2 linked regions of the Rhinolophus ferrumequinum genome follow. The protein of the gene in region 1 purifies or fractionates together with the protein of each later gene. This does not show direct contact. Links are inferred from orthologs where the notes say so. Each region holds a gene or a part of one and is shown on either strand. Other genes may lie near its edges.

Region 1 (7,278 bases):
GTGGTCAAGAAGCCAAACCGTTTCCAATATTGTTTTAATGTTAAAGATAAACATTTATTACTAATTTAAAATTTCTTTATACGCTGCTTTTCCCATTGAGAACCACACAATTTTCAACGATTTGGGAACTCCGAACTGATTTTTTGGAGTTCAAGAACTTACCCAAAACTGACAGTTTCTGCCTAGCCATACTTCAGATTTCCGTATAGAAGTCAGAAGCAGGTAGAAAAACACAATCATTGATTTTTTTAAAATACGAATTTAGAAAGGGAGAATACTACAGTGCTTCACCTACAGGTCCACTCTTATATGTGAAGAACGGGAGAGATCTTCGCAGGAGTACAGATGAGAACATTTTAAAGACTCTCACGTCTTAGAAGGAACACTAGACAAGTCCACGTGTTTCTTCATGGACTTTCTTCGTACACACTTAGATAAATGCACATTACACAAACTCGGAAAACAGGAATGAGTGTTCATAAATCGGTGGACGAAAAAGATGAGTCAATGAATAAGCAGGGGCTGCTAAGCAGAAGACACTGTCCTAAGGACTCGAGAGTGTCAATAAGGGAGCTCAGTAAGCAAAAGCTGGAGTGCTAGTTTTGGGTTACTTTTTGTAATTTTTCATTAACAAAGCAAAAGATATTTTAAGAGACTCGAATTACTCATAAAAACTAAGAAAGGGAAAAGCTCAATGATCTGTTCGTAGGATTAGTTTATAGTCAAACCTTTTTGGATAAACCAGTTAATACTTCCCTTTTACTTTTCTTTGAATGTCTATCCTCCCTTTCATATATATCTTTTTTTATTAATGAGAGTTGGTAGTTGCAGGAAAAACACGAAATCAAACTGAACATAATGACCTAATTTACAAACCACCTGAAAACAAATTAATCCGTCATTATGGGTACATATTTTTACATACATTTTTTTGTGACTGAGAACTCTTCATATATAATTTATCTACCTGGATGTTGACCACGGGAATGTCCTACTAGAAATCTTGGTATCATGCTTTTGCGATTACATTTTAGATCGTGAGAGACAGCATGGAGCAGACAGAGTCTAAGTTTTGGAGTCAGCAGTTCAGTTCTAGCTTCACCACTTGTTATCTCTGTAACTTTGGATTTTTTTTCTTAAGTACCCTCATCTCAGTAATCTTACCCGTAAAATGGGACTCATAAAAGGACTTACTTCACAAGCCTCACAAGGATGATATAAAATAATGCCATCAGGAAGACACTACATAAATTGTGTTATTTTTGTAACTGTAAGCTCAGTCAGTACTGATCAACTTTTCGTATTCCAAGGTTCCACAGTAACAGAAAAACAAAAGCCCACTCATTTCCAGAGTACTACAATGTCCACCACTAGAAAGTGTACCATGGACTGAAGTGATCCAAGTAATTTCTTTCCTTTAATCTTACACTGAAACATCCAGTAAGTCAGGTTTCAGACCGCCACTAGCTGACAAAGCAGTGAACAGTGTCCTAAAAATCCACTGCAAGTAACCCCTAAGCAGGTAATTTGCACGCAATAAGTCTAATTGTAACGGTATTAAACAGAGTAAAAACTATCAATAGTTTGCCTTGCACAATCCTACAAGTTTTAAGAAACTCTGCTTCTGCTTGTTTCCTAACATAGATCTGTGAAGCAAAAACACAGCACCATACTAGTGTTCACAGCCTCTGAAGACCTGAAATCTAGACAGGGTTTTCGCACTTTTTAGGTGAGCAAGATGCTCTCCAGGGTTATGTCATAAAGTTATACGTTTGTCTTGGAAGAGTTCTCTTTCGATTATCGTATCAGAATCACATGCAGTTCTCTCATCATTACAAAAAGCACAGTTTCAGGGTCCAAAGGCAGGCCAGCTCGGAATTTTACCAATCCACTATAATGTGGATTCAGTTTTACACTTTGAGTTCAGTTTTGTGATTAGCTGTCCTCATCATGATTTTACCCTCAAATATACTGTAACTAAACTGCATTACTGTTCACTACTCGTGTAAGCATTTCAGATGGAATCAAGGAGAAAGATGGAGTACCTCAAGTTAACATGCTTGTTTGAAAACTACTCAGATATCTTAAACACTCCCAGATGCCAACTGACACTTGAAGCAAATCTGTATTTGTTGCAGTGGAGGAGAGGAAAAAGGCCACACCCAAAGTTAAGGCTCCCGCAGTGAAGTGATACCAAGTGTCATCGTTTTAACTGTTGCTATTTGGGGTACTTTTTCACGGTGACTGAATACGTTACATTCATTAACCGGCCCACCGTTAATAAAAAAGTTCCTCCGATTCTAATCGCTTAGGCCACTTCACTTAGTAACGGGCAGGTTCAAGATGGAGAATTACCTCATTCAAAGAAAGATCTAACTAACTGGCGTAGACGAGGGCCAAACTCACATGATCAGTGTTCAGAAGTGACTCCAAAGGAGCCGGTTCCCTCTCCTCCCCTCCCCCAAGTGGTCAGGAAAGCAAGAAGAGCCCGGCTGTGTCAACACAGCAGTTACCTGACCCAGAACGCGCCCGCGTGATCGGGACCCCCCTTCAGTGCAGAGGCTCCCCGACTCCCCTCTCGCCTCGGGGCCACCTCCATCCAGGATGTCTCTCCCCTCCCCACCCCCACCCCCGTTCAGCCCCGCTGCCTTCAGCTTCCTCAGCCTCATCTCCATCCCGCCTCCGTACTGTCGCCCACTCGTCGCCGCTTACCTTAGCCACGTAGTCTTTCACCTCATCCAAGTCCCCGTTTTTCAGGGCCCACATGAACTCCTTGTCGCACATTACTGCAGCGGGGCGGGCCAGTTGGCGGGGCAGAAGACGAGGAGGCGGTGGCGGCAGCAAGCGGATACCGCCGGGCGAGAGGGAGACAGGACCGCGCCGAGCCTGAGGGGAGAAGAAGAGAAGGCGGGTGAGGCTGCCAGGCGGGTGAGGCAGTTGGCCGCAGCAACCGTTAGGGCGGGAGAAAGTTCTTTGCGGCCACCGGGCCCAGCCGAACAGGTTCCGCCTGGCCGAGAAGCAGTAGGAGCGTTTACACTTCCGGTTCACTCCCAGCTAGGACCCGCCCCCAACTTCCTCTTCCTCTTCCCCTCCCTGTTCTCAGGAACCCGCCCCGAGGGCCCGGGGGGAAGCAACCCGTGTGCGCAGGCGCAGTGGCAAGGCCCGCGGCCACTGGGTGGAGGCGGAGGAATGGGGCGGGGCTGGGGGGCCGTGGAGGGGATCAGAGGACTGGAAGGGCAGAAAGCGAGCGACGCTGGACAGTTAGTATTTCAGACGGTGTCAGGATGTTGCTGCACACAGGACGGGGCAAAAACTTAACAACAAAAAGAAAAAAACCTCGGAGGGCATCTTGCTCGCCTAAAATTGGCCAGTAGGACTCTTTGATTTGAATTCCTTCCCTCCTGTCTTTTTTCCTTCCCTATCTCCCTGTCTCTTTTCCTCACTTCCTCTTCTATCAAGCATCACTTGGGCTCTTACAAATCATCAATGGTATAGCAAAAAAATAAAAAAAGGATACTTGTGCTCAAGAAACTCTATAATACTTATGACAGCAATGTGAATTTTCTGTGCCAATACTATGTTCTGCGGAAGGAAAACTTCACCGAGGTGGGGAAAATTTTTTACTCATTTCCTTGACAGCAAATGATGTCCAGGACCAAGACATCACTGTGATGCTATGGTGCAGACAAACCTCACTGTCCCCTACAACTGCATTTTAAAAATTCTGTGGTCATGTGTTTTTAAGGGTTTGAAGCTTCAGGACCTTTCTAGTGAAGCCAGTCTACGCTTCCTAGGATTTGGCTGTAATACCTCGAGGCACAGTCACCAGAAGAATTGTGCCTCAACCCTAATGATACGGACGTGCACACATGAGCATGGAGAGATCCAACAAAAACACTTACTGAACTATTATGTATTTAAAGTCACTATGTTCCATTAAACAAATAAAACCAAACTACTTAACTATGCTTGTTGCCATATAACATAAGGGTTCAGAACACAGACTCCGGAACCAGATTGCTGAGTTTTCAATACAGGACCCAACCCTTAACTAATTTTGTGTCACCTTAGGCAAGTTACCTAACTTCTCTCTTCAGTTTTCCACATGTGTAAAATGGCAGACAATAGTGTTCAATAAATGTAATTGGGGGCGAGGGGTGGGAGGCTATCATTTAGAGACAGCAAATAGAGAGAGGTTTCAAACCAAAAGACAAAAAAAAAAATCTCCAAATATTTAACAGCAGCATTGATTGTAATTCTGTTCATTGTACTTTGTGACCATTAGAAATACAATTAATTATATACCTAGTGATGCTACCCTTCTGGAAACAAATTTCAAGGAGGAATTTGTTAGGCAAATCCTGGAGTCCCCATCTCTTTAATTCTTACCTGTGTGATCTTTGATGTAGATCACTCTGGCAGCTCTTGATTTATAGCTTTAGTCCAGACTTCTGTGTGACTCATTCTTATATTTAACTTCTTACTCATTTGAATGTCTCAAAGTTAACATGACCAAAATAGGATTTAATCTCCTCTAGATTTTTAAACCTAATTGTCCCTTAGAATTCCCCATCTGTGTGAATGACACCACCAATCACCCTGTCACTAAAACCAAACACATTGCGGCAAAGATTCTCTCCTTGGCCAAACTCTAGCCAGGTTCCTTTGAGTCCTCGCTTGACTAGGCCTCAACCTTGATCTATAAAAACTAACATAGTTTCTAACAGCTCAAGACCACATCCCTAAGATTGCCCTGGTCCTCCTTAAATTTCCTGCTTGATAAAATTCAAAGCTACCAAAAAATATATATATGTATACATATATATATTTTTCCCATTTGTCCCAGCCAACCCTTGAGGATAGGGTGTCTACCTCCCAGTCTCTGTAGGAGGGTAGAATCCTAACTTCGATAATTGCCAGCTAGCAGACATAGCTGGCCTAATCACATTTATACTGACTAATCTTTTTTAATTTTTCACTTCCATGACTCTACTGATACCCTACTCATGCTATTTTCTCATTCTCTCTTTAAAACACCTACTCATCCCTGTCCAAGTAAAGCTGAGTTCAGTTCACAGTAGACTCTTTTCCCTATTGCCGTAGTTGTTGCTGGTAAAAATCTGTCCTTGCTGCTTCAACTAGTGTCTTGCTTTGTCTTTGACAAAGGAAATCATAAATAACTCCTGTCTTTCCCTCATATTCTGTCCATCAGTAAGTACTTCAAAACATATCTTACATCGTTCACTTCTTGCCATCTTCACTACTGATTTACCCCTCCCTGCCACACCCGTTTCCAGCCCTATCATCTCTGCACTGCTACAGAGCCTCCTAGATGGTCTCCCCATTTTCACTCTTCCTCTTTTCCAAGTGATTCCCCACATAGCCAGAGTTATCTTTTTAAAACATAAATCAAGCATGCACTTCTTGTCCTAAGACCTTTCGGTGGCTTCCTATTGCATTTAGGATAAAATCCTGATTATTTGTTATGGACTTTGGGATACTCCATGATCTGACCCTGACCGTCTCTCCTATCTCGGGACATGCCCCTCCCACTTCCATGGCTTTTTGGTTCCCATAGATCTCATCTTCTGCCAGTTTCAGGAAAAACCAAGCTCATTCCACCCTAGGGCCATTATGCTTGCTGTTTCATGTCTGGAATGTTCTTTTAATTCTTGCTCACTCCTTCTGATCTTTGAGGTCTCAATGCAAATGTCACCTCCTCACAGAGGCCGCCCAGATCACCCACTCAATTAGTTCTGTCATATAGCCCAGTTTTATTTCCCCCTTCACTTCGATAATCACAAATATTTTCATTACTTTTTTTTTGAAACCTTTTTTTTTATGGTGTTCAACAAATATTTCCTTTTGTCTGCCATTTTGGGCACAAGACAGAACTGCTCTTCTTGGCTTCCTATGGTTGAGTAATATCATGTAACTAATTTTGACCTATTAGTTATGAGAAGAAGTAATATGAATCACTTCCACGCTTGCCAATGCAAGACGCTTCAGAGCTCTTTAATCCCTCTGCTATAGCAACCAGCAACTTTCAAGACAGCAGCAGTGGCTACAGTCAATCTGGGTTCCTGAGGGACTAGAATGAGTAGAGCTCCCTTATTATCCCATAATGGATATGTAGTAAAATAATAATTAAACTTGGTTCAAGACACTGAGATGTTGGTGTTTATTACTGTAGCAACATTGAGTGAATCTTGACTAATACAGAAATTTTTGTCAGAAGGGAGCATTTGTTAGAACAAAAACCTTAATTGTGCTAAGAGAATTCTCTCCTTCATTAATTCAAGAACTATTTATTGAGCACCTACTATGAGCCAGTATAGTGATAAATATCTGGCATATAATGTAAAGCAAGATATACAAGATGCTGATCCTCATTAAGCCTAATTTCTAATGCAAGAGGCAGACAATAAATAGGTGTTTTATTCAGAATAGGTTAGATTAGTCTGCAATAACATATAACCCCGCAAACCACAGTGGCTGAAGACAAAAGGTTTATTTCTTATTGATGCTTTCTGTCTAACATGGATGGCAGGGGAATTTGCTTCTCATAGTTACTCAGAAACCCAGGCTGAGATTTGCCACCCTATTGGAGAAACGTACATTGGAGGAACTCACAATGGCAATTAAAAGTAAATGTTCTCGCCTAGAAGTAATTTATAATCACTATGTTCACAACCCAGTTGCTAAAACTAGTCACGTGGCCCCACCCAACCACTAGGGGGCGAGAGAGCTCCAAAGGGTGAAGCTTGAGCTGGCGAGACTAGTGACAACCCCCATCAGTCCTTCTGATCGTTAGATACTAGGTTTACCTTTCTTCCCACAAAATATACACATACCCTCTTCCAGGGAAATAACCCCAAAAGTTCTATTCTATCATAGTTCAAGTTCAAAGTCTATAATCTCACAATAGTTGGGCCGGGATATATCTTCCCTTGATATGGAGACACAGGAACTAAACAAACAAAATATCTGTGCCCCTCCCCCCTCCATACCTAATATACAATGATAGAGTAGGAACAGGATAATCACCACAAACACTTCTCAAAATGGAAAAGACTGGGATACAGATAGCAATCAATAGTCTGTGGCAATTCTGGAATCCTGCCAGGCACACATTGCAAGGGTCTCTACCCTAGAGTAGAAATATTCCCTGATTAGGCTCCAATTCTGATCCATGGTAGGTGCCCCCTTCACTGCATTGTATTCTGTGGTCCTTTGCTTCGCCTTCAAACCTTCTAAGGGAGTTCTCTTGCATTATCC
Region 2 (8,264 bases), on another chromosome or scaffold:
GAGGATGGAGTCATTATGGGGACAGAGCCAGGAGTGCAATTTCCAGGCTCTTGGCCTCACGTGGAAAGGTGCTCACTCGGGTAGTAAATGGCCATCAACTGTGATTGGATGGCCATCAGCTGTGGCTAGTTGGCCGTCAGCTGTAACCAGTGAGCCTTTGGCCATTAATATAACTGCTGTGGCTACGCTAGCACAAAAATGGGGGCTAGCAAGAAGATGGTGGCTGAGCTAGCAAGAGCGGATTGCAGCTAGCAAGTGAGGTTGGTTGGCAGAGAGAAGTGGACGGCAGGTTGCGGATAGTGTGGCTCCTGCTTCCTGTGTCTCCAACCCAGCTGCCAGCAAGAATATAGTGGTATGACTCCCCTATCTATGGCTCCGTGGGTGTTCCTTTTTGGCCTCACCATATCCTGCATTCTTATGTGGGGAGCGGGACCAGAGATCCCGCATGACACCCTGCATGACAGTCATCCACTTATCTGTGTGACCTTAGGCAAGTCATTTCATCTAAGCCTCAACTTCTTCTATAAAATGGTAACAATAGAAGCTACTAGCTCAAAGGATTGTTTGGAGGAATCAATGAGATGATACAACAACTTAGCACATAGTAACCACTCAATTAAAAGTAGCCATCACTTTATTATTCATTTTTGGTCCACTTATTCACACAATAATCCTATTATGTTGTTACTATTATCTTATTTCACAGACCTTCATTGAGCACCTATTATGTTCCAGGTGAAGATCCCTAGTGACCAAAACAGCAGTTAGATAACAGAAAAGAAGGGGTTCCAGAACTGAGCACTCAGAAAAGGAAGAGGCGCTATGAAAGGGAACTCAGAGGAAAGCTGAGCAGTGAGAGAGGAGCCTCAAGGGCGAGAGAAGCCAACTGCAGCAAACCCTGCGAAGTCAGCAAGATGAGGCCCCGAAGTGACCCACTGGCTTCTGCAAGATGGGAGTTTCCAGGCCAACAGGCAGAGGCAGAAGTTCACCCCAGACTGATCTGAAGAGAAATTGGAGTTGGTGTGGAAATAGCAACTGCAGAGAACTCACAAAGTTTGGATGTGAAGAGGAGCAAAAACATGGGGGAAGTGGCTGGAGGGAGAGTTTTGTTGTTAAAACTTAAAAAAAACCCTGAAATATTAGGACATGTCATTTCAAGCAGGTGGGAATGGTCCAGTACAGAGGGAGAAATTGGTGACTCAGGAGGGAGGGATGCAGAGTGCCAGTGAAGGGGTGGCTCTGATGGTGAACAAATGCTTCTTCAGTCACTGTGAGTGGGGAAGGCAGAGGACGTGGGCAAGGTGCAGGGTTGTCAGGGGATGAGGGGTCTCGTGTCCGATTGATTCTATTTCCTGTGTGAAGTATGAGGCAAGTTCATCTGCTCAGAGTGAAAGATGAGAAGGGGATAGAGAGGAGGAAGAGTGGAAAATCACCTCTGTACAGGGTGGGGGATTGAATATAGCAGGGAAATATAGGAGGATTGCTAGGCAGGATCGAGGGCTCCTTTGAACTTTGTGGACATCAATTTCAAGTGACACGCGTCACTTTTAATTTCCCAGCAATGTTCAGATATTCTGATGTAAGCAGAGAGTAGGGGAATAGCTGGGCTTATCTAAGGTTGGGCAAGTTAGAAGAAGAGAAGGGGGGCAAAGGGGCTATGGGGTTTTTCGAGGAAGCGAATGATCATTACTAAGTTGGTGAGGAGGGAAGTGAGCACAAGAGAGAAGATAAATATGCAAATCTGACAGGGTCACAGGTTTGTAGGTCGTGGTGACTTTGAAGAAATGCTGGGTGTGATATTGTCAGAAGGAGGCTCAAGTCAGATTTGGTATCTTTGCAATTGTGTTTTCTGAGATAGTACAATTACTGGTGAGAACAAGTCCAGAGTAAGACCATGGGAGTGGGTACTTACAGACGGGGGAAGGGATAACTCATTGGTAGAGAAGAAATGAGTAAAGGAGAAGTTAGTAAGATTTCGGATGGATTATGCTTATGGATGCTGAAGTCATAAAGTGCAGGCGGCACGTTGGAGGTCATGATAGCATGAACTTCAAGGGGTTGGGTTTTTGAAAGAGGAAGGGAGGAGAAACAGTACTAAAAATATTTATGGTGTTTGCCTGCCTACCCGCAGCCCCTTGTAGGGAGTCATGTTTAATGCCACATGCCCCCATGTGCATAGCAATACCTGACTGGTCAAGGGGTAGTGTCTGGCCTACAGGCTGCCAATGTGGTGCACTGGCCAGTGACCTGTCACCATTAAAAGGAGAGATGAGTTCATTGGATTCTGTCTTGGGATCTGGACTATGAAACACAAAAAGAATTTGCTGCTTAATAGCACAAGCTGATGCAGAGAATAAACGGACAAAGGTCATCAGGATGGACCTCACACAGGCTGAAATGTTAAGGGAATAGGGGTATAAACAAGCTGAGGATGCCAAAAAGTAAAGGAAGAATGTAGAAGATGCATCAAAAGCAGCAGAAATGGGGCCTCATGAGAGAGCTGGAGTAGCCTGTCCCTAGTTCTGGGTTGGTTCCCAAGTCCTCTTATTATGAGGTAACTTCCAAAGGTTTTTGAGCAGAGAAGCAATATAATCACACCTGGGGTTACGTGTTTGGGCTCTGGTCCCAGATTGCCTGGCTTTGAAATCATTAGCTATGTGATCTTGGGCAAATTACTTAACCTCTCTGTGCCTCAGTTCCCTCATCTGTATCATGAGAATAATAGCACTGCCCTTGTAGTGTTTTATTGAGAATTAGAGAAAATACAGGTGATGCATTTTGAACAAGCTTCTTTTCAGTATTATTTTCTTCAAATAAAATTGTCCCTTCTTTCACAAAACTTTCCCTTGTGATCTTATTTATCCCTTGGCTTCCAGGAGGATCACCACTTTCTCTTGGTCCTCTTCTCGCCTCCCAGACTATTCCTTCTCAATTGTTTTGCTGGTTCCGCTTCATCTTCTTGACCTCTCTACATTCACCTCCTAAGTGAGCTCACTTAGATGTCTTGTGCTTTTAAGTACCTTAAAATATTAGCTGACAGTTCTCAGTTTGTCACCAACTCCAGTTTCTTCCTCCAACTCCAGGCTTCCATACTTGACTACTTGACATCTCCATTTAAATCTCCAATAGGTAATCACAAACTTAACTTGCCCCAAACTGACTCCTATGCCCCCGCCCCTGAAAAAAACCCTGCTCCTCCTACAATCTTCCGCAGATCAATAAATAGAAAATCATTCCGGTGTTGATCAAGCTAAAAATCTTAGCATCTTCCTTTCTTCTTCTCATGCCTACCACCAATCCATCACCCAAAACCCAGCATACGATCTCTTCTTGCCACCTCAATGCTACTGCCCTGGCGGAAACACCTTCTTCATCTGTCTGCTGTGTGACCTTAGGTTACCTTTTCTGGTCTCTGTTAAGAAGATTAAATGAGTTATTGTTTGTGAAGTGGTCAACAGTGTGCAGCACATAGGAAGTCCCATGTAAGTGCTTTTTGAATAAATAAAAAATGCCTTCAATGCAGAAATAGCTTTCTAACGGCCCTGGTCCCCCTACAGTCCACTCAGAACACAGCAGCCTCCTGATCCTTTTAAAGCCCAGGCCAGATCCTGTCACACTGCTCTGCACCTCTCTGACCTCAGCTTCCACTGCTCTCCCCTCGCTCAATCTGCGCCAGCCACCTCGGTGTCCTTGTTCCATGAATACAGCAAGGGCTGTCCCCACTGGGTGTTTACCCTGGCTGTGCCTCCCTCTAATCTAATATTACTAAGTTAGGCCTCTTCTGGCCCCATTTTGGTTAACCTGCCTGCCTATGCCCTCACTCCCGATTTCCTCCACATCTCTAACCATCTGACACTGTTTACGTAGTAGCTAATTGTCTCCCCTTCAACATTCAAGATCTGCAACAAGGTGGACTATCTTGTTCATTGCTCTATCCCTAGAGCTTAGAACAGTCGTTGGTACATAGTAGGTGCTCGCTCAATAAATGCTTACCAAGTGAAAACAATTCCTAAGAGACACTCCCTTCTCTGAATTCCCACAATACAGGTATGAATCATTCTTGGGGAACCTACCTATATCACTTCTTATGCCGGTGGCAAGTTTTACTTGACTGTGAGCTCCCTAAGGACAGGGCTTGGCTCCTGGTAATAATGCCTGTCATTTATGCAACACTTTACAGGTTACAATCCCTGTATTGAATTAAATCCCTGTGCCTGAGTTAAATCAGGCACAGGTGGCCTGATTTAATTCTCACAAACGACAGTGAGCAAGTTAGGGAGGGCTAGCATCCCAGGTCTCCTGCCTTCTGGATGAACCTCAAATATTTGTTGAATGAAGAGGAATAAAAATATTTCCTGAGTCACTCTGGTGTGAAGCAGCCCCACTGGACAAATGGGCTGGTTCTCTGTAGCACATCTGAAAATACTCAGAACACCTACCATGCATTGAGCCCAGTTTTCTAATCCCTACCTGTGTCGTCCTCACAGCGATCCTCTAGCTATGAGGACATCTTTATGTCTTGTTCACCCCTGCTCTCTATTGGTGTCTCAAACAAGGCCTGGTATCTAGTAGGTGCTCAATGAGTGTGTGGCTCGAGGCTTTTTTTTTTTTTTTTAGAGATCGGTCTCAGGTGCAGCGACTTGCTCCAGGTCCCGCACGTAGCTAGCGGCAGCGCAGAGATTCCATTTCAGGTTCGCTCACTAAGCTCTCCCCGGGCTGCGCTGGGCCCGTGGGCCGCACTAGTTCCGGGTCCGCCGCGGGAGTGAGCGCGTGCACCGGGTGGGGCGGGGAGGGACTGACCCCTCCCAGCCCCAGTGCCTTCCGCATCCCCGCCCGGGAGGCCCGCGGGCACGGTTCCTCTGCCGCCACCCGCTTCTGCAGCCCCAAAGCAGGTGGCAGGGTCTGGGTGCGGGCAGAAGCCCACTCCCGGGATCAGCCCCGACACCGACGGGCACGCCACGCCGGGCTCAGAGCACCGGCCCGGCCCGCCCACTCTGCCGGCCGCCCGGCCGGGTCCCGCCCGCAAGCCCCGCCCCTCACTTCCCCGATCGGCGCTCCTCCCCCCAGCGCCGCGCTCCATACTTGGCGATCGCCGCGGCCCTGCGCGCTCATTGGCGGAGAGCCGGCTGCGTGGGGGGCGGGCCCGGGCCTGGCCGGGGCGGGGAAGGAAGGTGGCGGCGGCCCGGCGCGGGGGGAGGGGGGCGCTGACCCGGATGTTCACTCCTGGGCACCCGGGGAAGTGGAAGCGCCGGGCCCTGCTGCTGGGGGGAGAGCCACAGACGCCGGGACCGGGACCGCCGCCGACGCCGCCACCATGGTAAAGGCCCGACGTCACCCTCCCCCAGCCCCGGGGGCTCCGCCGGAGCTCACGTCCCCCTGCCCCCGCCGACCCCCGGCTTGTGAAGGGTGGGTTCCCCCGGGTGGGGGAGGGGCGGGGTCCGGGAACCCAGGTAGACACCATCCCTGCGCACTCAGGAGGGAGCTGCCCGCTCGGGCGGCTCGGGTGGGCTGCGTCCCTGCTTCCCCCTCCCAGACCCCGCCCTTGGCTCAAGCTGGTGTCCCACTCTCCACCTCCGGGTCTAGGCTGGTCTCCTCTATAGCCCAGGCTAGTCCCTCCTGGACCCGTGGGCCGGGCCAGGCACCCCCTCCGGTGACCCAGGTTTGGCCCCCATTTCTCCTCCCCCTGGCCTGGGCTAGGTCCCTTTTCCTCGTTCCTACGGCCCAGGCTAGGCTGTCGTTTCTCTCTGCCATGGCCCAGACTAGGCCTCTGTCCCCCTCCTCCATGGCAGCAGTCCGGACCCCCGTCAACTTCTCCAAGTGGCCTCAGCCTAGATGTGTTTCGTCTCTTCCATGGCTTCAGCTTGAACCTTCTTTTCCCTCCCTGGTCATAAGTTTGGGCCTCCCCTCCTCCGCCCATGCCCCCGCCTGGACGTCACCCCGCCCCACCCGCCATGATCCCCTTCCCTAGACTTCTCACCACTCTTAGAGTAGGCTGCGTCAACCTCCTTCTGTCCCGGCCTTTACCTTCCCTCCAGGGCCCTGCTCCCTGCCCTGAGCCACCACCTGGTCCCCTTCCCCGAAGCAGGGCGAACCTTCTTTCCCACCTGTGGGAAGCTTTGCAGCCCAGGGTGGGGTAGTCCCGGGGCTGTGCCTTTTCAAGTTTGAGGGTTACCCCTTCTGGGGAGGCCGTCTGGGAGCGAGCGAGGGAAGGGCGGGCATTTGTGTCCGGAAGGCAGCGCGGCGCTCTCCGGGCCTTTCCGCGGCGGCAGCCTCGGTGCTGCGGTGGGTGCTTGCGGAGCGAGCGGCTAAGTTCTGAGTGGGAGCGGAGTGATGCGGTGGGGGAGCAGACAGGGCAGGGATGAGCGCACAATCGCTCGGGAGAGGCCACAGCCCATGGGGGGGCGGGCAGTAGGCCCCTAGGCCAACATATGGCCTGGACACGATGCACCCCAGCAGGCGCAGCCTCCCTTTCCCCTTGAACTGTCAGCTCGTGAGGGTTGGAACTGCTGATTATGGAGGTGCCTCGGATCAGGTGAGCCAGGCTCCTGGTGTTTGTTTTGGTCATGAAGGCAGGTGCTCTCTGGGCACTCTACCTGGCTTGAGGTTTCACATAGCCCCACACACAGGAGTCTGCCCCTGCCCGAACCTTCTGCAGGGCAGGCCCAGCACCCAGGTTGGAAGGGCCAGGGGACTTCTCTGTCACATGGCCAAGGACCCATTGGAGAATGGACTGACAATTCAGGCTGTTCATCTGCTCCTCCCATCAGCATAAGCAGATGTTTGCATGTGGACTTTGGGCCCGAAAGGGTTTTGAGGATCTTGGTTCCTTGTTTGACGAAGGGATGTTGCTTCTGAACTGGGTGACTAATTCAGACTCCCCACGTTTTTTCTTGATGCCTTCCTGTATGTTAATGAACAAGGTGGCCAATGCCATTTTTCATGCTATTGGAGTTCTCTTCGTTGGCTGAGAACTGGCTGCATGGTGGGGGTGAGGGTGGCGGTGGCGGTGGCGGTGGCCCAGTCCTGGGCCTTGGTGGGGCAAGACTTCTGGACAGGTTTGGGTGAGGACTTTAAAAGTGGAGTGAAGTTTTGTCAGTTTGCTCTGGGGGCAAAAGCAGGGGAGGCTGGATGGAGTGGCCAAGTGGGGTGACTCAAGGCACGTATCTGGCTGGGAGGGGTGTCTTGCCTTGGCCCTGGGTGCCAGATTGTCCAAATGTGATGGGAAAGTGCCTGTAATGACCCAGGAGGAGCACGATGATACACAGCAGGCTTCTCAAGAGTCCTGTGTCAGGTCTTCTTTGGACAATCTGAAAGGACTGGAAGGGGTGGGGGACAAGGGCTACTATTTCTTCACGGGCTGCTCAGTGACTGCGTCGTGAGGTTCGCCTCTGTGAGCTCCTTTCATCCACACGCAGCCTTTTGAGGTATCCCCATTGGACGGGGAAAGAAGCAGAAGCTGGGGCGGACTAACTTACTCTTACTCAGGGCGTCGCTCAGTCAGTGGACGCATACCTGGCAGGCTCACAGCTTCTCCTTCCCATGCCCCAGGCTGCTAAGTGTGGGAAGACGTAAAGGACACTGCTTAGAAAACATAATAACGGGGTACTGTGCAGAGATGGCAAGGGAGGAGCAGCATTTATAGTCCTCCGCTCTACCAGCTGAGCTATCAAAGAAAGCACCAGGAGCAGCATTTACTGACTGGATTGTGTCCTGGGTCCTTTGCATAGGAGACGACGTTAGTGAAATAGTTGCTTGGGAGTGCCTGGGCCAGAACATGCGCTCTTTGACGGCAGGGATTTTCGTCTTGTGTTTTCTTTCCATGGCTTGAAGGAAATGGCTTGGAGGGCTCTCCTTTGGGGTGTGTCTGTATTCATGAACTTAACCACTTGGAGTTCATGTTCATTCTCTCATTAACTTGTTCTTAGTATCCCCTAGGCTGAGAAGTAATTTCTGACAGGCTATTGTCAAATGTATCCCCTACTTGAATACTGTAATAAACTGTGGAGACAGTTGGGGTAGGACAGAAACGGTGGGTCGGGCTGCAGATTAGGTAAATGAATGAAGAGCACTGTGGTTTTTGTTTTCAGTAGGTTTGATGGTAGAGAAAACAGGTGGATCTCAGTGATCCATGGAGGGAAATAGTGGATGGAGAATCTCAAATGCATTGGACTTCGGAGTAAATTCCATGATTTTTGTTGGCATCAGTTAAGAATACACAGACAACTGGAATTTATATGCATTCCCCTTGCAGGTAATAATCTTAC

What was found.
Region 2: the proteins of MTPN (region 1) and CAPZB purify together in Homo sapiens (co-immunoprecipitation; 3 studies listed by BioGRID and IntAct, with this or other methods). This does not show direct contact. The link is inferred for Rhinolophus ferrumequinum from reciprocal best matches to the Homo sapiens genes MTPN and CAPZB.

Annotation. Positions count from the first base shown.
Region 1 is NC_046309.1:12,102,314-12,109,591, reverse strand, and holds the start of MTPN (myotrophin), read right to left. Parts: upstream 3,061-7,278; 5' UTR 2,785-3,060; coding exon 2,713-2,784; intron 1-2,712. UniProt on the Homo sapiens protein: Promotes dimerization of NF-kappa-B subunits and regulates NF-kappa-B transcription factor activity. Plays a role in the regulation of the growth of actin filaments.
Region 2 is NC_046292.1:13,114,462-13,122,725, reverse strand, and holds the start of CAPZB (F-actin-capping protein subunit beta), read left to right. Parts: upstream 1-5,219; 5' UTR 5,220-5,314; coding exon 5,315-5,317; intron 5,318-8,264. UniProt on the Homo sapiens protein: F-actin-capping proteins bind in a Ca(2+)-independent manner to the fast growing ends of actin filaments (barbed end) thereby blocking the exchange of subunits at these ends.